Linked DNA regions of Arabidopsis thaliana. The protein of the gene in region 1 interacts with the protein of each later gene in a pairwise test. Each region holds a gene or a part of one and is shown in the gene's direction. Other genes may lie near its edges.

Evidence for each region.
Region 2: the proteins of UBC9 (region 1) and ATGP4 interact in a two-hybrid assay, tested with the Arabidopsis thaliana proteins (one study listed by BioGRID).

Annotation. Positions count from the first base shown.
Region 1 is NC_003075.7:13,911,463-13,923,208, reverse strand, and holds UBC9 (ubiquitin conjugating enzyme 9), read left to right. Parts: upstream 1-5,708; 5' UTR 5,709-5,915; coding exon 5,916-6,075; intron 6,076-6,508; coding exon 6,509-6,636; intron 6,637-6,802; coding exon 6,803-6,907; intron 6,908-7,000; coding exon 7,001-7,144; 3' UTR 7,145-7,678; downstream 7,679-11,746. Other genes in the region: AT4G27980 (trichohyalin-like protein (DUF3444)), read right to left, coding at 1-1,554, 1,673-1,764; SLAH2 (SLAC1 homologue 2), read left to right, coding at 3,087-3,458, 3,545-4,315, 4,416-4,447, 4,535-4,919. UniProt on the Arabidopsis thaliana protein: Accepts the ubiquitin-like protein SUMO/SMT3 from the E1 complex and catalyzes its covalent attachment to other proteins. Mediates the selective degradation of short-lived and abnormal proteins.
Region 2 is NC_003075.7:12,844,269-12,856,628, reverse strand, and holds ATGP4 (Ubiquitin family protein), read left to right. Parts: upstream 1-4,818; 5' UTR 4,819-5,183; exon of another isoform or gene 5,184-5,279; 5' UTR 5,280-5,379; coding exon 5,380-5,509; intron 5,510-5,761; coding exon 5,762-5,932; intron 5,933-6,600; coding exon 6,601-6,656; 3' UTR 6,657-6,978; downstream 6,979-12,360. Other genes in the region: SWEET14 (Nodulin MtN3 family protein), read left to right, coding at 278-323, 444-480, 566-779, 866-1,027, 1,246-1,365, 1,733-1,999; AMY1 (alpha-amylase-like protein), read left to right, coding at 2,804-2,893, 2,972-3,104, 3,176-3,606, 3,831-4,196, 4,269-4,520; UMAMIT16-psi (nodulin MtN21 /EamA-like transporter family protein), read left to right, coding at 8,253-8,368, 8,590-8,706, 8,817-9,048, 9,231-9,277, 9,363-9,500, 9,580-9,694, 9,785-9,832. UniProt on the Arabidopsis thaliana protein: May serve as docking site to facilitate the association of other proteins to the plasma membrane.

The DNA of each region.
Region 1 (11,746 bases):
TTCCCGCTCAATTTCACTGATTCAACTTTGTGAGAGAATCTCTGCATTTCCGCAGGTGGGATCACAATCTTGATGCATCCATACTGCTCAGCATGGTTAAAAACCGATTCGTATCCTTCAACTCTCCCCATATAGGCCACTTGAATGCCTATAAGATCGTCAAACTCGGAGATGACTTCCACAAAGTCGTATCTATAAGGAAGCTCCTGTAGTTCTAGGTGACTGTTCCAACTTGCATTCCAATCACTGAAAAGAGCCCATGTTTCGCCTTTTCTCGGGTTCACAATGACCTCTTCAGCAGATTTGATGTGATCCATCTCATGAGCAAACATCAAGTGGCTCTTGATCTCTGTATCTCCATATTCAAATCTCCCACAACCACTGAGAATAGACTGCTCATCTTTTGTAGTTTTGACATGTTCAAGTAGTGTCACCTGCAAACTCAACTGGGACTCAAAAATCTCCCTGATCTGGGCATAGTTCCTAGGCATATCATCTCTAGGATCATATAAAGCCCATACTTGATCAACAGCAAATGAGCTCATTGACTTGCTAAAATCATTAAGCTTTGTATCAGGACAAGTTAATGAGTTAGGATCCTCATAACTTTTATCTGTGCAGACAATTCCTTCAATGTCTCCATCATTTGCTTCCTGAGACTTCTGTTTCTTGGCTTGAGGAGTACAAGAATCAGCGTCACTATCATTCTTTACCAACAAAGGAGGTTCAATTTCAAGGTTGGATCTCTTCCGAGACTCTGCTTCTACAAGTTGTGGTCTTGATGTTTCTTCTAATTCCATCTGCTTCAATTCAAGCTCTTTCAATCTTTTTTCCAATGTCTTCTCCTTAATCTCAAGACCTTTTCTCATCAGTTCAGTCTCCTCTCTCAATTTTTCAGCTTCTTCTTTCATCTTCAGCTCCAAAGTCTCCTCCTTTCTCTTCAATTCAGCAGTCTTCTCTTTGACAGCTTCCTCAAGTGCCCTGAGATCCTTCTCTCTTGCCTCACTTTCCTCATTCCGTCTCTCAGTCTCAGCTCTTTGTTTCAGATGAAACTCCTTCTCTGCCTTCTCTAACTCACACAACTTCTCAGAAACTCGGCAAGCCTCCTCTTTCCTCCCATCAAACTCACTCACCAGCTCCTCAAGTTTCTTCGTCGTCGAACGGAGAAACAAACCAAGCTTATTCTCCTCTGTTTTAAGTTGTGTCACTAAATCTTCACTCTGCTTCTCAAGCACCAATCTCATGATACTTGCTTCAATGACCAATCTCAAATCAGTTTCAATCTCTTTCTCCTCTAAAACACTTAACCTTCGAGATATTGACTCTTCAAGCAAACCAATCTCCTTCTCCTTCATTTCAACCACTCTCAGTCGTTCTTCCTTCTTCTCCAGCGAGGCGACCACGTCATCAAACTGAAGCGAAAACTCAAAAATTGATGAAGATTTTGCCTGAATCTTGTCTAGGATTTTGAGATACCCTTCACTGTTTTGCTCAGTAACGTCTGATTCTACTGAATCCCCTTGCATTGCCATATTCTCAGAGACATAAACCCTACTTTTTAGTTAACAAAAGATGGGTCATAAAGGAAGAAACTTTTCATGAAAAAATACAAAAATGAGAATGTACAGAAAGAATAAATAATAGAAACAAAAAGTAGGAAGAGAAAATAAACCTCTCTTGAGTTTGGTCTTCGGTTGACACCAACGGTGGTTTCTGAGCCGGCGTGTCTTCTCCGGGAACTAGTAAAACTTTCGGTTTCAACATTTTTTTCGCTGTACGAACGGAGCCTTTGAGCTTATCCAGGAATTTGAAGAAAAGTTTTAAACTTTCTTGGTAAGACTCAGAAATTTTGGTAAAGAAGAATGGCTTCTTCCCATCTCTCTTATGAAACAAGAAAAAATAGAATGCTTTATTTACTGAAAATGGAGGGAGAAAGAGAAACTAGTGCTATTTTGTCTTATTACCTTATAAATACAGCTTTCCTTTTTGGCCGTTCGATTGTATTATTTTAAGCCGTTGGATTATTGTACATCAGACGTCAGCTTTCTATTAACTCTCGGACAATGGGGTTTTGTTGTAGCCCGTTGGGCGTTGGATAAAGATCATGAGATTTGTGAAAGTGAAAGGATCAGCTAAATGGGCTTCGTAGGATGATTTTTGTTAGCCCATCAAAAGGTTTATGAAAGAAAAAAAAGGAATCAATCAGCCCAATATTACAAATTACAGAACCTCATTTTCTTAAATTACTATCACTATAATTCTAAACTTTCAAGATGGCAAAACAGTAGTAGGAAAAACATTCTATAATCGATTTTATTGACGAGTGTACGGAACGGATACTAAAAATCCGCAGACGCGACTAAACGAGAGTGCAAAGCCGCCTCTTTTATTGACTCCTTGACTTTCGAGTCCACTAGGACATTCCGAGGAACATTATCTCTACTCTATATATGTCTTTTTTACTTGTTTGCATATTTTATCCGAACGTTTTTGTACGATTCAATTTCAATGTATTCTTACGGTCGTTGTCCTTGTATTTATGGATTAACAGTGCCTTTAACAATAGCCTGGGACTACCTTCAGATTGGAGTCCATCACTTGATCATATCGGTTAAGATGTAACTGGACAAATATAACTCGAGAGACAAGAAGTAATGGTCAAAACAAAACTGCTCAAATAAAAACAAAAAAGTGAAAGACAAGATACTTTATCTGGACAGCACTAAAGCCAAAACACACAATATCTTTGGTTCTGGCCCACATATTTACCAAAATACCATTTTCAGAGGACTTATTTGACTTCACATACACAAAAGAGTCACACCGACTGATCAGATCCTCTGTTCTTTTCAAACACTGATCAGATCTACATTTTCTTTTTCCATCACTTTCTCTTCATTTTCTGTAAGTTTATATATACATTTATGTATGTGTGTGTGGTTTGCATGTTCGTTTTCGTAATATGTTAACAATAATATACAACTAACCCATTTGCAAAAGTTGGATGTGACGTTTTGATTCGGTTTTTATATATTTGGATCTTTATAAATATAGTTCCAAATTTATGTACTAAAACAGGGAAAACAATGAATAATCCAAGATCGGTTAGTCCTTTGGTTTCTCCAGCAAACCACTCAGATCTATTAGAAAACCAACGTCAATCCGGTTCTGGAGATTTCTCAAGATTAGAGAAACGAATCGGAGCGAGGAAGATGAAGTTTCATTCCAAGTCTATGCCCCGAGGTGCCATGTTTCTTGATCAAGAAGCATCTAGAAACTTCCACGACAAGAGGTATGACCTATTCAGGACCATGTCCGGGAAACTCGAACGTCAGATATCGAATTTACGTGGGAAACCCACTGAGAGTTCGTTGCAGGATCATAAAGAGATTACTGAATCTTTAACCGCTGATAGATACTTTGATGCTCTTCAAGGCCCCGAGCTTGAAACTCTCAAGGTATTTTATCATTCATTTTTGCTCATATGGTTGAGTTATACTTGTGTTTGGTTACTTCTATTTATGGGTTTATTGGTGGATGACAGGAGAAGGAGAAGATAGTTCTGCCTGAGGACAAAACGTGGCCGTTTCTTCTACGGTTTCCAATCACATCATATGGGATGTGTCTTGGAGTAAGTAGTCAAGCCATCATGTGGAAGACCTTAGCAACCACAGAGGCAGAGAAGTTCTTGCACGTGACTCAAGTGATCAACCACGTGCTCTGGTGGATCTCTCTCCTTCTCCTCCTCGCCGTTTCTATCACTTACCTCTTCAAAACCATCCTCTTCTTTGAGGCGGTTCGCCGTGAGTTTCGGCATCCGATCCGAGTCAACTTCTTCTTCGCTCCTCTTATATCAATCCTCTTCTTGGCACTTGGAATCCCACACTCTATCATCTCACATCTTCCCTCTACACTTTGGTACTTCCTTATGGCTCCCATCTTGTTTCTTGAGATGAAGATTTACGGACAGTGGATGTCTGGTGGACAAAGACGCCTCTCCAAAGTCGCCAACCCTACAAACCACCTTTCCATTGTCGGTAACTTTGCAGGAGCACTTCTAGGAGCATCCATGGGGTTGAAAGAAGGACCAATATTCTTCTTTGCCATAGGGTTGGCTTATTATTTGGTTTTATTTGTGACTCTCTATCAGAGACTTCCCACGAATGAAACCTTACCTAAAGAGCTTCACCCTGTTTTCTTCCTCTTTGTGGCTGCACCAGCCGTCGCTTCCATGGCCTGGACCAAGATCTCTGCCTCTTTCGATCTCGGTTCGCGTCTAGCATACTTCATCTCCTTGTTCTTGTACTTCTCTCTGGTAGTTTTTGTTTTCATTAACAGAGTTCTAGTGAGCTAGTGCTGAGTTTCTTGTGGTACAAGAAATGTAACAGCTTTACTTCTTGTGATTCTTGTTTCAGGTTTGTCGGATTAACCTTTTCCGGGGATTCAAGTAAGCTGTTTCTTGAACTGCAAGGATCTAATTTACCAAACCAAATAACATACATGTTATCTGACATAATTATTCAAAAAATATCAGATTCTCGCTAGCTTGGTGGGCTTACACGTTTCCAATGACGGCAGTGGCCAGTGCGACGATCAAATATTCAGACGAAGTCACGGGAGTGGCAACGAAGATACTATCGGTTGTGATGTCGGGAGCAGCAACTCTGACGGTGATAGCTGTGCTTGGGTTGACGGTGATGCATGCTTTTGTCCAACGTGATCTCTTCCCCAATGACGTTGTCATTGCCATAAGTGCAGAACAACCGAAGCAGAAGAGATGGTTCAAACATCTCACAAAAGAAAGTTATGGAAATAATGAGAGATGTCCCAAGATTTTGGATCCGGAAGATAATCAAATAGATTTAGAATCTCCTCCTTTAGTAAATGTAGATAGTTCCACGGTTCAGAATTCAAATTAACAAAAAAAAAAAATGTGATGAAAATTCATGATCTTTGTTAATTAACTTCTCATGTACAACACTATAGCAGTGCTAATAATAATAAATTAGCGAAAATCTTAATTATTTTGGTAAATTTTAGTTGCATACCATTCTTTTTACTGATCATGATAAATTACTTCTTCATTTCAGCAAAAATATAAAAACTATAATCACTTTGGCTTATTCTTTCGTTAGATTTAGTTATTATAGTATTGTTTGATTCAATTCAAGTAAAAACTATTTGAGTTATAGGCAAACTTAGTCACACCAACCGCAACCTTCACAATTTGTCTTAACAAGTTAGATCATATTTCGTGGAAATAATGTCTAGCTTAACATCTAATTTGTCGAATATATCTTAATGTCACTGTTATGTTAATTCATCCTCCATCTTTATACTTTGTCACCAAAACGAATCGTCTTGTCACATATGACATATGACAGTAAAAACAATGTAATAATTTCCTACACATCACGTTTTTGAAAAAAAACATCCTTCATCAACCGCTGGTCAATCTTGAAAGCATGGTAAATTCATTCAAATTACGTCAAATGATTCGTTCTACAAAACTCTCAGCCGTCGGATCATACGACTTTTGACTAAACCACTTAAACGACGACGCTTCGACGGGATTGGAAAACATCGGCGCCACATGATGATGATACGAACAACCGCGTTATTTTATATGTGCCGTAGGTACAACGCTGAGTTAGGCCCACCCAAAAAAAAGTTTGACATTATTTAAAACGAACGAATCTGAAAGAATAAAGCAGCAGAGTCCACTAATCAAACGAACCAGAATTTACCCGCACCCTATTTATTGTGGTCGCGACCACACAACATTTTCAACTTCTTCTTCTCTTCCGTTTCACCACCCTTTCTTCTCCTAAATTCGAAGAACCAAAACCAAAAACGTGAATTCGGAGTTATGATTTTGGATCTTCTTCCCGTCTTTATATATAATTTTCTGGGTTATGTTTTTCTTCTTCTTAATTCATCTGACCATTGGATTGGTTTTCGATTGCAGAGTCTTCAATTGGAATTTGGATCGTGGGATTTTGGAAATGGCATCGAAACGGATTTTGAAGGAATTGAAGGATCTGCAGAAGGATCCTCCTACTTCATGTAGCGCAGGTACCTATTCTTTTAGTCGATTTATCAACTTTGATTCAATAATTATGTTCCTCTTGCTGGATAATGATGGGTCGTTGGTTTTGATCTTCTTTTGAGCTGGTTTTTTATGTGTGCGACGGTTTGATATTGATCTCTCGTTAGCTTAGATCTAATTATCCTTGATTTTTAGGTAATTCAGCTGCTAATAACAGAAATTTGCATACTTCATGGTAACACTTGTTTGTGATTTTTCTAGGAATGAATCATAAAGGTCAATGTTCAAACTTGTTTGCTCGTTGATAGATCTGGTTTCATTTTTTGATTTCCTTGGATGAGATCTTAGGATTATAACTCTGTTGTTCTCTTCTAATTTTGCCCCTTTTACCAACTTCTTCTTATATGCATGTTGTTGCTTTTCTGGTTTGGTATTGAAGTTTTGGTTAAATGTTGACAGGACCCGTTGCGGAAGACATGTTTCATTGGCAGGCCACTATAATGGGTCCATCGGATAGCCCTTATTCTGGAGGAGTTTTTCTTGTAACCATCCATTTCCCTCCAGATTACCCATTTAAGCCTCCTAAGGTATATTCAAATCTCTACAGCTGCTTCTTCTTCTTTGAATTTTTTTTCCAACTTTACTTCGGCCATCATTTTTCTGTTGCTAATATCTTCCATCGTTTATCTATTGTTCTTTTCTCTGTGTTCTTGATTTCATTGCTCTCTATGTATGTTGTTACAAAAAATGTAGGTGGCTTTTAGGACGAAGGTGTTCCATCCAAACATTAACAGCAATGGAAGCATCTGCCTCGACATCTTGAAGGAGCAGTGGAGTCCTGCTCTCACAATTTCCAAGGTTTTCTTTTGTTCTTCCTCATCTTTATCATATTAGAACCATAATTTTGCAGCTTTGCTCTCCAGGTGACATCAATTTTGTGTGGTGCAACAGGTGCTGCTATCGATCTGTTCTTTGTTAACGGATCCAAACCCAGATGATCCTTTGGTCCCTGAGATAGCTCACATGTACAAGACAGACAAGAACAAGTACGAGTCCACTGCTCGGACCTGGACCCAAAAGTATGCCATGGGCTGACACAAATACTGTCCTTAAGGAAGAGCCCTAATAATTAAACTCTTCTTATTTCTATGTAATGATCTTTTATAGACTTGTCTGTCTTATAAAATTTGTGAAGACAGGATCAGTAAGAAATTATTTGATCTCCATTCTATGGAATTGTAAAACGTAAATCATCATCCCGTCTGCTGTTTCTTTATTGCGTGATGCCGATGCGTCTCTGTGTTTATCAAGGCTCATATTATTTTGGATTTTATTCTGTCCAAAGCCCAAACTAGCTACAATCGTAAGCCTTTCCGTTTTCGTAAACATTATTAACTTACATACGTAACATTTTCATTTTAGTATTATGTGGGCAATGATTTATGTAAATGGTGTATGGGGCCTAAGAGTGAAGTTGTTCATGAGTTAAGATTGTGATTGTGATCCATCTGGAACAATTTAATAAAATGGGACAAAGGAATTATCACTTTGAAGTTTGACCAATTTAAGATTTACAAAAAATAGTAAAACTATTAAAATCACCTTTTCCCCAAATAATATACTCAAACGGGTTTAGCCATTAGTGCTACTAAACATTATGGTATAAAGACCTTGAAAAAACGGTTACTTTTTTATGGTATAACCCAACTATTATGACACTTTTGTGTTCAAGGTTCTGTTTCAGTGATGGAGTATAGTATATTTTAACATAATGTTTATCCCACGAATTAGATTCCTCTTCGATGGACACATGTTGTTGTTAAGGTTGGGAGCTTATGAGGTTGGCGAGGTTTAAAGCAGTAATCAGGGCTTATTATGTTGAGATTAAGGTTATGATTTTATAATTTCACGTTAGTTTGTTGACGATTTATAAAAAAAAAATGTTATGAATGCATATTTTGCTTAATGAAAGTGCTAGTGGACGCTTGATCAATTCATGTTAATCTTTAAAACTCTTTATCTTAAGATTCAAATCAAAGTTTATTTTCTTTCTCGAAACTCCAACACTTGTATTTCTATATATTTTGAGTTTTGGGTTTACCGAGGCTTCCAAGTCCATTCGAATAAGTTTTTAAATGTGTGTTTTCACTACTCGAGCACTACTACTGATAAAACTTGTAAATAAATTATACTATTAGAACCGAATGGTATACTTTTCCTTCTAAAGCATTTAAACTACCACTAGTCACTAGATGCACATGTAAACTCAGCATCATATATGGTCTTAGTGTGGGTTAGCAGTTGCATTGAATAATCTTGTCTTTTACTTCATAATAGTTCTATGTTAAATCTGTAATTGTAATAGATATGTATGCATGGTATATAGTATCATGAATAGAAATTGTTTATATAGTAAAACCTAACAGCATAACACTACATTACTGTGTTCTACACTTCTACATAAACCAATTATATTCGTATATGAATACTCATACGTACGAAATTTAATGATCTCTAAACATATTAGAAAGAACGAAAGCAGTAAAACTTTCTGTTTCCAACCAGCTAAAGCCGTTAAAACTAGAGTTATAAGTTATCTTACCATTTGTCTTTCAACTAGTTTCGACCTTTTACATGATTCAACAGATTTTCTAAAAACTATCTCACAAATTTGAGTAGTACTATTACACAAAAAGAAAAGATTCACGTCTAATCCCACTAAGAATATATCAATTACATTAACCCACCAACGGCAATGTTTCATGTACTAAAAATACGAAAATTATTGTAAGAAATCAGAATATCAGCTTTCCAGAATTAAAGGCAGACTAACACCCGTTGCAACCCAAATTAAAACCATTGTTTTTGTTAAAGTGCAACCCAAATAACCATTACACGATCTATTCGAGCATGGACCGTTCTCTATTACAGAATATAGTACTTTCTAAGAGTCACCATAAATTTTCTAATTTTTATGTCTAACGACCGAAGGGTTTACTTACTAAATATCCCTTCAATACCCCCGAAAACTTATACAATGTCACTCTGTCAGTGACTGGACTACTTTTAATCTATGTTCAAAGTCTCCATAACTTAAAAAAAAAAAGTTTATTAATTATGATAAAGAGAGAGGTCGTGCCCAAGAGAGCATGGTTAACGCCAGGTTTTTATTAAATATTTAAATTAGAACTGAAGAAAATAACTTAGTTACAGCCTGATCTTAGAGATCCCCTGTTTTGTCTTTAGTAAATTAGAGAATCGTAACCTTTGGTGGCCTCCACTAAATGGCATTAATGACCAGTCACTAATGTTAATATTGCCGTGAATCAAATCTCTTAAACAAAACCTTTTGCGTTGAATAAAACTTAAAATTACAGTGGACACTTCAGCGGTCTCAAGAGTCAAGACAAGTGGAGGTAAGAAGAGGAGTCACGATTCATGTGCCATGAGTCATGGTACTAAAAGGTTTCGGTGAAATTTTCACCGTGAAAATCAAACTCTCCGAACCAGACAATTTGTCTTGCACCAGATCCTAAACAAATTGGTTTAACTTTTAGTTTCCTTTTGGTTCATTTAACATGTTATTCCTATCAACGCTAGTAAGGTAGAGCTTAGCTCAAATGATCGATTGGGTTGGGCACTTATTTCTACAGAGTAATTTTAAAGAATATTAATGAATAAATGTTTTTACGATAATTGTTAAAAGTTTGAATTGTACATAAAAAAGTTATTTATATATGAATAAAAATAATTATAATGGAACTTCGATAAATTATTTTTAAATAGTTACATTTAGATTTCAATTTAGTGTATTTTCAATAACCAATAATAATTTAGGCTATTTTAAAAGCTATAGTTTTACTTTTACCTATACATTTACATATATATTCCTATAATGTACTACATATATTTATTATAAAATTTTGATGAATTTAATGTTCGCGAACAAATTCCAAGTATCTATGTAAGCTATTTTTATTTTTATTAGATATATGACCAACATTTCTTGCTTGTAAACTAAGGCTGTCCACGAGAATGACTTGAGTAGTACTCACGAGTCGCGCGACCATGTAGCTTCTGCTCCAAGACATACATTACCTTGGGAAAACTCGAAACTCACACGTTAATTTATATTATCATAAACTTGGTTATGAGAAGTAATTACTCAAGCGGTGACCTTCTCTAGTCTTTATTTGTCCATCAAAGTTCGAGCTCATTTTTAATTTAAAGCTATGCACCAAGACCAACGTACATCACATTATTATATAAGTAACTAATGGTGATAAAGCTTTCAACGTTTTGCTATTTTGAGGGGTGGCCCTTCTTTTAAGAATGGATCTTTGTCCTTAAATTTATTTTTTACCAACAAGTCTCGTTTCTTTCTTCTATTTGGATTCTTCGTTCATAACCGTAGATGGACACGTTATATATGCACACATGACACATTGTATTAGCTTTCAACAAAATCTGTAACGCAATCTTCTTTTTATTGTCACATGTCACCGATTAATGGTGAATGGCAACAAAAAGATGTTAATATCAAAAAGTTATAAATATTGGGTTGGGTATTGTTACTTCAACCCAGTCGTTATTAAAAGTCATTGGTGAGAAGTTGTTATCGCTCCAAAAAAGAAAGTGGTCAACCCAAGTCTAAAACAAGATTCACAGTTTGTCTAAATTTCAATGTAGTCACTTAATTGTCGTTTTTAGTAACACACATGTACGTATTATAATATGGTTCGTATAGTAATAGACGCATATATAAAATATACGTGGATTGGTCACTTGGCTCAATGTAGGACAGTGGCCAAGAACACTGCACTAAACCTCGGGGTTTGTCTTTTGTCAATCCAAAGGATTCTCCATGTCTCTCTCTTCTTCCCACTTTGGATATTCAGAATCAAATCGTCCTTGGCTTCTCTCACACGACCTTTCTTAACCGATCTTCCTCTCTCTCTGCTTCTAGTTAGCACTATTCTGATGCTCGTCCGACTAACCTGACAAAAAAAAATCTCGTGTTTTTTTTTTTGGTTTCATAATGACTTGTAATTTTCAACTGATTTTTTCAACCCTAAACTAAATCAGAACTCGGTTAGAGATGAATTTTTGTAAGTTCAAGTTTTTGAATTTTCATATTTTCAAAAATGAAAGCTCTGAAACGAAAAAAAAAAAAAATTAGCGCCAAATCCTAGGTTGCCCGCCACGTTACTTATCTCACTGGAAATGAGAGGATTTTACTGAATAATTTGTAACAGTTTTTCCTTAAAATAGAATCATATAATAACAGAAACAAATATATTTTCTTACTGGAAAATAAAGATTGATTCCCTTTTTACATTGGTCGGAATTTACTCATTTGGAACATAAATATAGCATTTACTCAAATAGTATATTTACTGTTGAATAAGCACTTTAGGAAAACACATCACGTGACAGGTTGTTCATAAGAAATGAATGCATGGGACGAAACAGCTAAACGAATTCGCTACAGATGTCGGTCAAACCTGGGTGAAGTCATCATATTTTTTTAAAAAATATTTTAATCTTCAATAATATAAAAAACATATTTGTCTGTAACTAAAACATTTTCAAAAACAAAAACAAAATAGTAGATATCTTTTCAAAAAATGAAAGCAGTTAAAATAAAACTGGGACCGGGTATCTTGGGGTCACGTGATATGCATCGTAGATTTCGAG
Region 2 (12,360 bases), 1.1 Mb from region 1:
CGTCAATCTGCGATGTTCTTCTCTCTCTTTTACCACGAAACGACGACGTCCCTAGCATATAAGCATGGAACCATTACACATATTACCATGTCTCTATATATAGTGAACCATTGGCCTCGCTAGTTAATTCATATCGAAGAAAACTCAAATAGAGGAATCAAGAGTCGAAGATCTCTATATATTTTCCCTTCTCTTGTTTCCTTATTAGTTTTCTCCGACACTCCCATTCAAAAGTAGAAAGATACTGAAGAGCTCGCTCATTCACAAAATAACCAAAATGGTTCTCACTCACAACGTATTGGCAGTTACATTTGGAGTCCTGGGTAAGTTTCAAGCATTCATAAATAAACATCAAGTTATACAAAACTATATACTATATCATTGTTCTTATAAGTGCATATCAAATTTAACTTTGTTATCTTTACCTATATGTATTTTTGTAGGTAACATCATATCGTTCATCGTTTTCTTGGCACCAGTGTAAGCATCATCGATCTCAAACGTACACTTCTATTTTTATTTGCTTTCTCTTAACAAAGAAAAATGTTTTGGACATTATTTTCAGGCCAACTTTTGTAAGAATCTGCAAGAAAAAATCGATAGAAGGTTTTGAATCACTTCCCTACGTGTCAGCCCTCTTTAGCGCGATGCTATGGATTTACTATGCTCTGCAAAAAGATGGAGCAGGCTTCCTTCTCATTACCATAAACGCTGTGGGATGCTTCATCGAAACCATCTACATCATCCTCTTCATCACCTATGCTAACAAGAAAGCTAGAGTACGTTTAAACCATCCCATTTCTTTTGGTATATTAAAACATGCACTCATACATACAGGTTTAGCTGATGATGATAAACCATGTAGATATCAACTTTGAAGGTTCTTGGGCTCTTGAATTTCTTGGGTTTTGCTGCTATTATTCTCGTCTGCGAGCTCCTAACCAAAGGATCGAACCGTGAGAAAGTCCTTGGAGGGATTTGCGTCGGATTTTCTGTTTGTGTTTTCGCAGCTCCTTTGAGCATCATGGTACGTACATACTTATGTGACATGTATCACACGCACTCAGAAAAAAGAAATGTTTGTCTATCTAAAAAGAGCCATGCTAATTCATATAGAGAATATAATATACTCTAAAATCAAAGAAACTAATATTTGTCTTTCCTTTTCCGGTAATAGCATCTCTTTATGTTTACGTATATTATATAGTTCTCTAACATGTGAAATTGTATAAAATGATGACGCAGAGAGTGGTGATACGAACAAAGAGTGTGGAGTTTATGCCTTTCTCTCTATCATTGTTTCTTACAATCAGCGCCATTACGTGGCTCTTCTACGGTCTTGCTATTAAAGACTTCTACGTTGCGGTGAGTCTCTCTTTTTTTCTTATATTATATGTGAATCTTTTTCTTTAGTATATGAAAATGGACAGCTCAAACATAGTATCATATATTATTATGTGTGGTTTATGTTAAAGGCAAAAGAGTTTCCACCACCTTTTGTCTCTTTGCCCAAATTCCATCTATTTAAAGACGACGAATGAATGATTTGAGCCGTACGCTACTTTTGCTTTATGCTTACAATCATATATTATATGATCACGTAAAAGAAACCGAGAGTACAATTATATAAAGTTTTTTAGGTTGTCGGCGATTAATAGGATTACTGTTCCCTATCAAAAAATGATTAGTGGGATTGTTACTGATGATGTGATTACTTTTTTATGATTTGAAGCTTCCAAATATATTGGGTGCGTTTCTCGGAGCAGTCCAAATGATTCTATACGTCATATTCAAGTACTACAAAACTCCACTAGTGGTTGATGAGACAGAGAAGCCCAAAACGGTGTCGGATCATTCCATCAACATGGTCAAGCTTTCATCTACTCCGGCTTCTGGTGATCTTACGGTTCAGCCGCAGACTAATCCTGACGTGAGTCATCCTATTAAAACTCATGGTGGTGACTTAGAGGACCAGATGGACAAGAAAATGCCAAACTAAGTCAAGATTTAGTTTTCAATTATGAATTAGTGATTGACTTTAATGTTGAACTGTTGAGTCTGGTTTCCTAATTTGTCTTTTATTTTCTCATCATCTTCTTTCGAAATATCTCGAAATTGTACTATCCTTCAAAAATTTATGTGCGTCGTTTAGAATTTTGTAAAATAGTTTTTGATGCCTCTGTTCTCAGTAATACTTAAAAGTTTATTAGTCCGGCTAATTAAAAAGGAAATGAAAATTCAAAGTAAGTTAGATAAACATGATCATTCACAGGTCAGATGTTTTAAAAAAAAATCATTATGGTGTACATCACATGTAGACAATACTTCAGAATTCATCTGGACTACCAGAATTGAGTTACCTAGTACTTCTCAATTCTATTTTACCCTAACGTCTAATAAATAACAAGTACTCTAGCCTCTTCGTTTTATGATTCCTCTAGGAAAAGTTAATGTTACGGCCCAATCACTTTTTTTAACAGCCCAAACAACATATATTAGCTCCAAATATCATTTTTTCCCCTAGAATATTCTCAACCTATTGTCCACTCAAAACGTGACAAATGGAGGTCTAAAGGGAGACCATACTTGACTCATTTTAGAGCTAGGATCAGACAGAGTAGATTTTTTGCCATAACTCCTTGTAAATGTATTCACATTTCATTCCCAAGAAAAATAGACTGATGAAGAAATATATCAGATATGACAAGGCCGTGTCGTTTAGGTTACGTAACTCTACAAGGTTTAGGGTCTCAATATAAACACACAAAGCAGATAGAAGAAGCAAACCATTCACAATCAGACAATGACATCTCTCCATACGTTACTCTTCTCTTCTCTTCTTTTCTTCATCGTCTTTCCAACCTTCACGTTTTCCTCCACCTTATTGTTTCAGGTTCGTCTTTAGTTTTGCTTCTTTACATACACAGACTCTACACACTCACTTATTGGGTTTCTTTCAATTGTGAAACAGAGTTTCAATTGGGAGTCATGGAAGAAAGAAGGAGGATTCTACAATTCTCTCCACAACTCCATTGACGACATAGCCAACGCTGGAATCACTCATCTTTGGCTTCCTCCTCCTTCTCAATCCGTTGCTCCTGAAGGTTCCATTTCTGCTTTACTCTTTACACATTCACATACCAATCTTGTTACTCACGCAATCTTCATTCCTCAGGTTACTTACCGGGAAAGCTATACGATCTAAACAGCTCCAAATACGGTTCAGAGGCGGAACTGAAATCGTTAATCAAAGCGTTGAATCAAAAAGGAATAAAAGCTTTGGCTGATATAGTGATTAACCACAGAACAGCTGAGAGGAAAGACGATAAATGTGGATACTGTTATTTCGAAGGTGGGACTTCCGATGATCGTCTTGATTGGGATCCTTCCTTTGTCTGCCGCAATGACCCTAAATTTCCCGGTACCGGAAACCTCGACACCGGAGGAGATTTTGATGGAGCGCCCGACATCGACCACCTTAACCCTAGAGTTCAGAAAGAGTTGTCCGAATGGATGAATTGGCTTAAAACTGAAATCGGATTCCATGGTTGGAGATTTGATTATGTTCGAGGTTATGCATCTTCCATCACCAAATTATACGTTCAGGTAAATCACATATGAATTCTCAAATATCAGACAACAGTATTAGTATATAAGAAACATAGGTTGAGATAATTATTTACTATTAGTATATATAAGTATCATAGGTTGATAGGGTTATTTACTACTATTTAGTATATAAGAAACATAAGTCAATGCAATCAATAAGAAATATATAAGAAAGTTCACTACTGATTATGTGATAAATTCCTCTGTTTTTGGATACACAGAATACATCACCGGATTTTGCGGTGGGTGAGAAATGGGACGATATGAAGTACGGAGGAGACGGGAAACTAGACTATGATCAGAACGAGCATCGGTCGGGTCTCAAACAGTGGATCGAGGAAGCGGGTGGTGGTGTGTTGACAGCTTTTGATTTCACCACCAAAGGGATCTTACAGTCTGCTGTCAAAGGTGAGCTTTGGAGACTAAAGGACTCGCAGGGAAAACCGCCTGGTATGATAGGAATCATGCCCGGAAACGCTGTCACATTCATAGATAACCATGATACATTCAGAACGTGGGTTTTCCCTTCTGATAAAGTCTTGCTTGGATACGTTTATATACTTACTCATCCAGGAACTCCTTGCATTGTAAGTATCATTTTAGTATGTAGCTATACTATTTACAACTACAATCTTGTTGATATGTTATTTTTGTTGCAGTTTTATAATCATTACATAGAATGGGGACTAAAAGAGAGCATCTCAAAGCTGGTGGCTATCAGGAACAAAAATGGGATTGGTAGCACAAGCTCTGTAACGATAAAAGCGGCAGAGGCGGATCTCTACTTGGCTATGATTGATGATAAAGTTATCATGAAGATTGGACCAAAGCAAGATGTGGGAACACTTGTTCCTTCTAATTTTGCTTTAGCTTATTCAGGCCTTGACTTTGCTGTCTGGGAGAAGAAGTAACGCATAACTCGAATCATAAGAAAAGTAATCGAATGTATCTTCTTCCTTTTTAATAAAACATTTTGGCAGTATCTAAAGATATGTATAATGAAATATAAAATGATAAAGAATACCTAAATAAAAAGAGCACTAGTGGTGTTAAAGGATACAACTCCAGTGAAAGAAAAGAGTTCAAGTGAAGAAGTGTCAACTTGTAGAAATAAGTATTGGAAAGTTTCCATCGTTTTGTTTTGTTGCATACAACTAATATATTATATATTGGCCGACTCGTATAAGATTTGGAGCCCTACTAAAATCAGAATTATGATGTCTTAACCACACAATACTGCCAAAATCAGAACGAATTATATTATTGTAGAAGAAGAAAAAAAAAGTATGGTGGGAAGTGGGAACAGTTAGACAGGTAAATTCGAATAAAACGACAGCGTTTTTGGCTAGGACAATAAAAGTTGAAGACGTCGGCTTGAGAAGAAGTAGAAGTGACGACGAAAAGAAAGGGGAAAAAAAAAAGGAAGGAAAAAAGTGAAAACCGTCGGCTTGAGAAGGAACTTTGATATTTGGTGACTCTTGAAAAAAGCAAGCTCTTTCTTCTTCCTTCTTTCGCTTTTTTCACACCTCAAAATCAAAGATCCGAAACACGATTTCGGAGGAAGCTTCGATTCTGTGTGTTTGATTCTTCCTCTTTTTTGTTTTTTGTTTTTTTGTTCTATCCCGTTTCGAAGCGAGCTCTGATTCTCGTTCCTGTCTACTTTTTTTCAGACCTATTTTCAGATCTGAAATAGTTGTGTTTGAGAAGCGGGATTGGTGATCGGAGCTGGAATTTGGTTGGTAATCGGAGGTCAGAGAGAAGTCAACGGATATGCCGGAGGAAGAATCGATAGATATCAAATTCAGGTTGTACGATGGCTCCGATATCGGGCCTTTTCGGTATTCTGCGGCTTCTACTGTTGACTTTTTGAAGCAGAGGGTCGTCTCTGATTGGCCCAAAGGTTAGTTTTAAGGTTTTTTGAATCGGTGCCCCTTTTTCCCCAATCTGATCCTGGTTTTATTCATGATCTTCCCACGAATTTCGTGTTGATTGTCACTGAATCCTGCAATTGTCGGTAGAAATTCGAAATTTAGAGCTGTAGATGAATTATTATTAGCTCATTTGAGATGTTATAAGCTTGATGTATGAGAAAAGCCAAGTCTCTGTGATTTGAGGTTGATCCAAGCATCAATTTTTTTGTGGTTTTGGTTAGGCAAAACAGTTGTTCCAAAGGGGATAAACGAAGTGAAGCTGATAAGCTCGGGTAAGATCTTGGAGAACAACAAGACTGTTGGGCAGTGTAAGACACCATTTGGAGATATTGCTGGTGGAGTCATTGTGATGCATGTTGTTGTACAGCCTTCTCTAGCTAAATCCAAAACAGGTAGTTGTTTGTCTATGTGTAATGTTCTTCATGTCTTTTATATCAGAGAATTCCCGTTTCATGGAGATATATGTGTCCTTAGAGGTTCCTCAATCTTTCATTAGTCTTGTGGTATTTATCTTGTCAACTGTATGGATTATGGTATTCATTTATCTGGCTCAACTTTACGTCTTATAATATCTAGCTCTAGTCATACTTATATTAATTGAGGCTGGTAAGATTTCGTAAGAGTGTTCATGCACATCAGAAAGTTAGTCGGTGACTAAGATCAGTACATTCTTTTTCTTTCTAACAGCCTATGGTACTGACTCAATCAACCTATCAGGTGATTAGTGGTTTTGTCTAAATTTGGTTTGTTTGTCTTGAGAGAGAGTAAAGGATACCCTAGAATTCATTCCTAGGTTTCTGGTGTGTTCTTTGTGTGAAATAAAGCAAAAATCAGCTCTAAGCTTAGCAAAGCATGCCATGAGGAAAGGAATACCTGAATTCATTATTGGTCGTCATCTCCTTGTAAACCCCACTGAAAACTTTTGCCAGTCTTTGAGATTTGTCTGCATAATTTGTTTTTTCACAAACTTGAGAAAGTCGTGGAAAGTGAGTTTGTGATTACTAAGACGTTTGTTGATGAAAGCTAACTAACAGTTGAATACTGGTTTTTGATTAAACAGAGAAGAAGGTTGATAAAGCACCAAAGGCAGTAATCTGCACATGCACCATTTTGTGAAGGGAGGAAGACCAATGTATCTATCATACACATCGTTTCAATTCTTCCGGTACAGAAGAAAACAAAATCAAAAAAAGAAAGCTAAAAGTAAAGTAAAGCTTCCCTTTAAGCTGTGGAGTTATTTATCATCTTTGAATGTGTAGAAAATGAACTATAAATTCTTTTCAAGTAACTCTTTGTCCCTTATTTGTTTTTTCTTCTTACTTTCCCAATGTATGGAAGCTGTATAGGTTACTAGGTCCATTACGTTACGTGTGATGAAGATAATTATATATCTATCTATTTTTAAAAAAGATTGTGCCTTTGTATTTTTCGTTCTTCCTTTCACACCGTTTTAGTATAGGTGAATTTGCGAAATGGCCAAATTCTGGCTGGCCCGTAAATGTAATTAATGAATTCATGAACTCTGAACATCACTTCGAACAGAAAATTCATCTCTTTTTGTTTTAGGTTGGGAAAAGGTAAGAGGATGGAGTTGCGGTTCCGATCAGACAGACAGGAAGAGTAGTGATGGATGAAGGCGACGTAGTCTCGAACAGAGGCATGATGTAATAACACATGATATATGACACAAGTCATAACCTAGCTACTTATAAATACCAACATAAACTAAAAAAAGTCATAACAATGGTATGTACTTATCTACATTAAAAAAAAAAAGAATTGCAGAAAGATGGCAATATGAAACTAAATTGAATCAAACACATGTACTACAAACAATAGTTAAAAATATCAAAACACAAGTAAAACAACCTAGTTTTAACATTTAAAACGAGGAGAAAAAAAACCAAAAAAGGGAGCCAAGCTTTATGCGTGGCGCTAAAAAGATTGGGCTGTTGATGGATAAATTATGATAGGGCCCAATGGAAAAAGAGAGCTGTCGGTAAACCCTAGACACGAAAGCCGGTGACGAATCGTCCGGTCAATCTGAGTAGTATAAGCGTATACGACATGTATAAGTAGCTAACTACGGTATTTATACTGTATGAGTTGGTAGTTAAAGAGTCATAATGACGTTAATGTCATATTACCAAAACAAGGAGCTTGGAGATAAACAAGCGTAAAAACCACACACTATAATAGCATTAAAGTAAAAACGAGCTGGAAGCATTTTCTTTAGAATATTTTCTTCCTGCACCTCCTCCTCCATTGACGAACACCACTGAGACCACACTTTTAAATTTTATTTTATTTTTAAAGAAGAAGAAGAAAAAGACGAAGAAGAAGTGCAACCAGGAATTGCAACCAACCTCATCCGATGGATAGATAAATATATTCGTAATCAGATCTGGACAATTCAATCAACCGAGGACAGACGCTACGACAGTCGACAAAGGCTGGTTTGCTTCACGAGACTAAGCTGCTTTCAGTACTCAGTTCCTCAGGTAAAAGCTTTGTGTTCTATTTTTATTTTCCTAGGCAATGGTTTTTAAGTAATTTCTACTAAAAACTTAAGAAAAACGGATCTAAAACGTTTTTTTTTTTTTTTTTGAATATAATTTAACCAAAAAAAAAAGACGTAGAAGAAGAAGAAGCCATGATCATAACATCCTACCAGTAGTTGCGGCTGTTTCAATTCAGATTGGTTTATCCATAATGTCGGTCATTGCAAAGTATGCTCTAGATTACGGGCTTTCTCCGAGAATCTTTGTTGCTGCGCGTCTGGTTATTGCATTTTCAATTCTATCACCCCTTGCTTTAGTATTTGAGAGGTACCAACCATAACTTATTGTATGTTTTCTCTGTTTTTTTTGTTGTTTTGTTTTGTTTCTGGTGCTAATAATAATCTCAAATCTATAGGAATACAAGACCTGACTAAAAGAATCTTTGCTCAGATAGTTATCATGAGCATTTTCGAGTAAGTTACTTATAGTTTGTATGAATCATCACATTCATCAATATATTAGAGGTTTAATCAAATGTTTTCTTACAGGCCACTATTGGAGCAAAACTTGTACTATACAGGCATGCAGCTCACAACGCCCACTTTCACTTCCGGAATGTTCAACCTACTCCCGGCCATTACATTTGTGATGGCCTGTATATTCAGGTAGCCTTCTATTTTCTTTCAAACATTTAGTTCTGTATGAGTAATAATCAAATCAGTATGTGTGTTTTGACTTTAGTTCCAACATGTAATGTCTCGTACCCTTTTGCAAGGTTGGAGAAAGTGGCTATTCACAGTCATCGAGGAAAAGCAAAAGTTCTTGGAACGTGTGTGGCGGTTGCTGGAGCAATGCTGATGACATTTTGGAGAGGCCAGGTGATTCCATTGCCATGGAACAGCTTGCTGCACGCAAAGAAGATCCACAGACATGATGAGGACATCCTAAGAGGAGGGCTTATGCTAGTGTGCAGCTGCTTGAGTTGGAGCTTCTATGTTATTCTTCAGGTAAAAAGCCCAAAGGTCACAATGTTTCTTTACAGAAATTTACTAAGTTGGCTGGCCTTTTAATCTATATGATGTTTCTTGCAGGCCAAGGTAGTAGTGTCGTACCCGGCAAAACTGTCCCTGACGGCTCTCATCTGCATCATCGGGGCGTTGGATCAACGGTCACCGCACTAATATGGGAGAGAAATAAACTTAAAGCCTTGAAACTTCATCCAAATGTGACAGTGTTAGCGTCTCTGGGGTAAGTTGAATTGAATCAAGAAGTCATTTGGTTGTCATACAATTTGTATTGAAACTCATTCTCCACTGTACAGGGATGTTTCTCAGCAACAACGGTTTACGTTGTTGGGTGGATGGCACAGAAGAAGGGTGAGTATCTTCAATCCAATCAATCTGATTGCCACGGCGGTCATTAGCTCGGTTGTACTCTCTGAGCAGATGTTTGTCGGGAGGTGAGCATTGGTGCTTTCCTAACATCCTTGGTATCTCTTAGTAGTCCTCTTCTCAACTCATCTTTCTTTGCTGAATCAGGATAATTGGAGCTTTCGTGATTATCATTGGCATCTCTTTTGTTCTTTGGGGAAAAATGGGAGAACAAACCACGCCGCCGCCGCCACCTCCACCTCCAGAGCCTGAGGCAACTGAGGTATGATATAGGAAAAGAGTGACTTGGAAGTTTGTGAGACTATGATTGGTAGAGGTGTGAATTGTGAGTTGGCAATTAGTGATTGGCTAGAAAGAGATGAAGATTGTTAGAGATGGAAGACCATTTGTAGAGGAATAACCAGAAAAGTATCCAAGTTTGTATCTTCTTCTTCAATTCTCTCTGTGTGTTGATAGAGCTGTTTCTACTTCTAAGCTCTACCACATGAGATTTAGATTCTCGTTTTATGAATGACAATTCAATTTGGTGTTTGTGATTTGGATTTAATTGAGAAATTCTACTTTATGGTGTAAAAACTACGCATCCCAATCTCTTGATTTCATTGGATTCTTATTTATCCCCATCAGTGAATATTCAACATCTCATTCATTGGTCTGTTATATTCTGGATAGGCTTGTTCTGGGGTCTGAGGTTTTGACATTGTCCAGCTACTATATCTATAAGTATTGAGATGAGCTTATAGAGGGGAATATAGGTTGATATATTCATTTATCCATAAAGTTTCCCATCCTAGAGAACAAATGACAGGATGGTATGGTGTCTTGAGTCTGACCATGTTCAAATTCAAAGATTGCTTCCGAGGTTATTTCTCTTAGTGGTTTTAAGGGCTCAATCAACTTGACCCAATAAGCTAGTTCTAGGATCTGAGACTGAGGGTTTTGACCATTTCCAGTTACAATAATAGGTCTTGAGAAAAGCTTAATAGAGAGGGAAAAAAGAGTTTTGATATATTCATTTATCTATCACTGTTTCACATCCCAAGAGAACCAAAAAACAAAAGTGGATGGTATGGTATATGAATATGACTAATCTCATATTTCTGTATCTAATAAGGCCTCTTAAGTTCCCTCTGTTTCGACTATCTCATCCTATAAAAAAAAACAAGAGAAAAAGCCACCACCTAAGAACAGGTCACGAAGGCCGCAGATAGATTGGTAAGGGAAAGTGTTGCGGTAGTGAAAAGAGAGAGTGGAGCCAAAAGGCAAATTTAGGCTTGCTGTTGTTGACGAGACAGTCTTCGTAGTAAATACGTTTGAAGAGTCTTGGGTTTATCCACTTAGCCGAGCTGAACCAACCGCAGTTGATATGTATCCTCGAAATTATGCATCCAGACATACTACAATATAACATGGTATTCCATTAGGCATTGGTATCGTCACTGCTTGGTTCACCACTATGTCCGTACTCTTGCACTTATCTCCGATTCTTTCCGGCTCTGCCCTGCTTTCTGCTTTTCCTTTTTCTAAACAATCACACAATAAAAGACAGAGAAATTTTAGTCTACAAGTAGCTATATTGCTACAATTTGTCTTTACTAAGTTTTGCTTGCCTTAAATTTTGTCTTTCCTAAAAAGATTACAAGATGTCTTTGCTAAGAAGATTACATTCACACTGCCATGCTTTCTGCTGGTCCTTCTATGTGATTATTCAGGTAAAAACGAAAAGATTACACCTTGTCTTTACTAAGTTCGGCTTTCTTAAATCCATATGATGTTTCTTGCAGGCCAAGGTAGTAGTATCATACCCGGCAAAACTGGATAAGGTAATTATAAAAATGAAATCTTGTAACAAAGGTATTCAAATATCAACATTCCATGGGTAACATTTTTCTTGACCCGTTAATCTACATGGACCACTAGGTCTTATACTCCAAACACACGGGTGATGATGTTTACATACAATTGTATCTCTCTTTCCTAAGAATATCGAACCATCTAGACTGATTTCCTCATACAAGGGTAGAGGATGGAGTTGCGGTTCCTATCAGACAGACATGAAGAGTAGTGATGGATGAAGGCGACGTACTCCCGAACAGAGACATTATGTAATTCTGGGAGTAGATATTTTAAAATGAAACATTTACATATCTTATTATATAAAGTATGGTTTTTAAAATTACTAACTCATAGGATTATGTCATGTGTCAAGTCTATCGATCAGATGTTGACACGTGTAACAAAATAATTAACTTTTTTCTTCTTAAAGAAATAGAAATACTAAAAAAGAAGTCAATTAACTTTTTTCTTCTTAAAGAAATAGAAAACTAAAAAATAAATCATTATTAACATATACTAATTCATATGTCTATATCTAAAAAATATTACATTTTGTTTTTCTTAACCAAAAGGAAAATTAACCAAAAATATTTATATATATTATTGGTCAAATTTTTAATATGTATGGTATTAACACTATGTTTTGTTAATTGTTAATAATTTTTAATATTAACTAAGATATAGATTTGATCTCATATATATATTATTTTGACATGAAATCATTATCAAGTGAGATGAAGTGTGTAAAATTAAAATCGAGTTTTTTATGAAATAGATAGTTAAATTGTATACAAAATTGAATATGTAAGATAAAAATTTGTTCTTTTCTTCTAAATACTAAATTATAATATAAAAAAGTGTGTAGATTACTATTTAGACTTCAAATATCATCAATAAGATTGAATGGATATAATAAAATAAAATGCATAAGACTACTATTTTACTATTCAAAATTATATATCAAGAACAATGTATAGATTATTATTTTACTATTTAAAATTTAAATATTATCGATAAAAAATTACAGTTATATCTTACACCCGCCTAAATATAGGGGGGCCTTATCTAGTATATAGTAAAGAAAAACAAAGA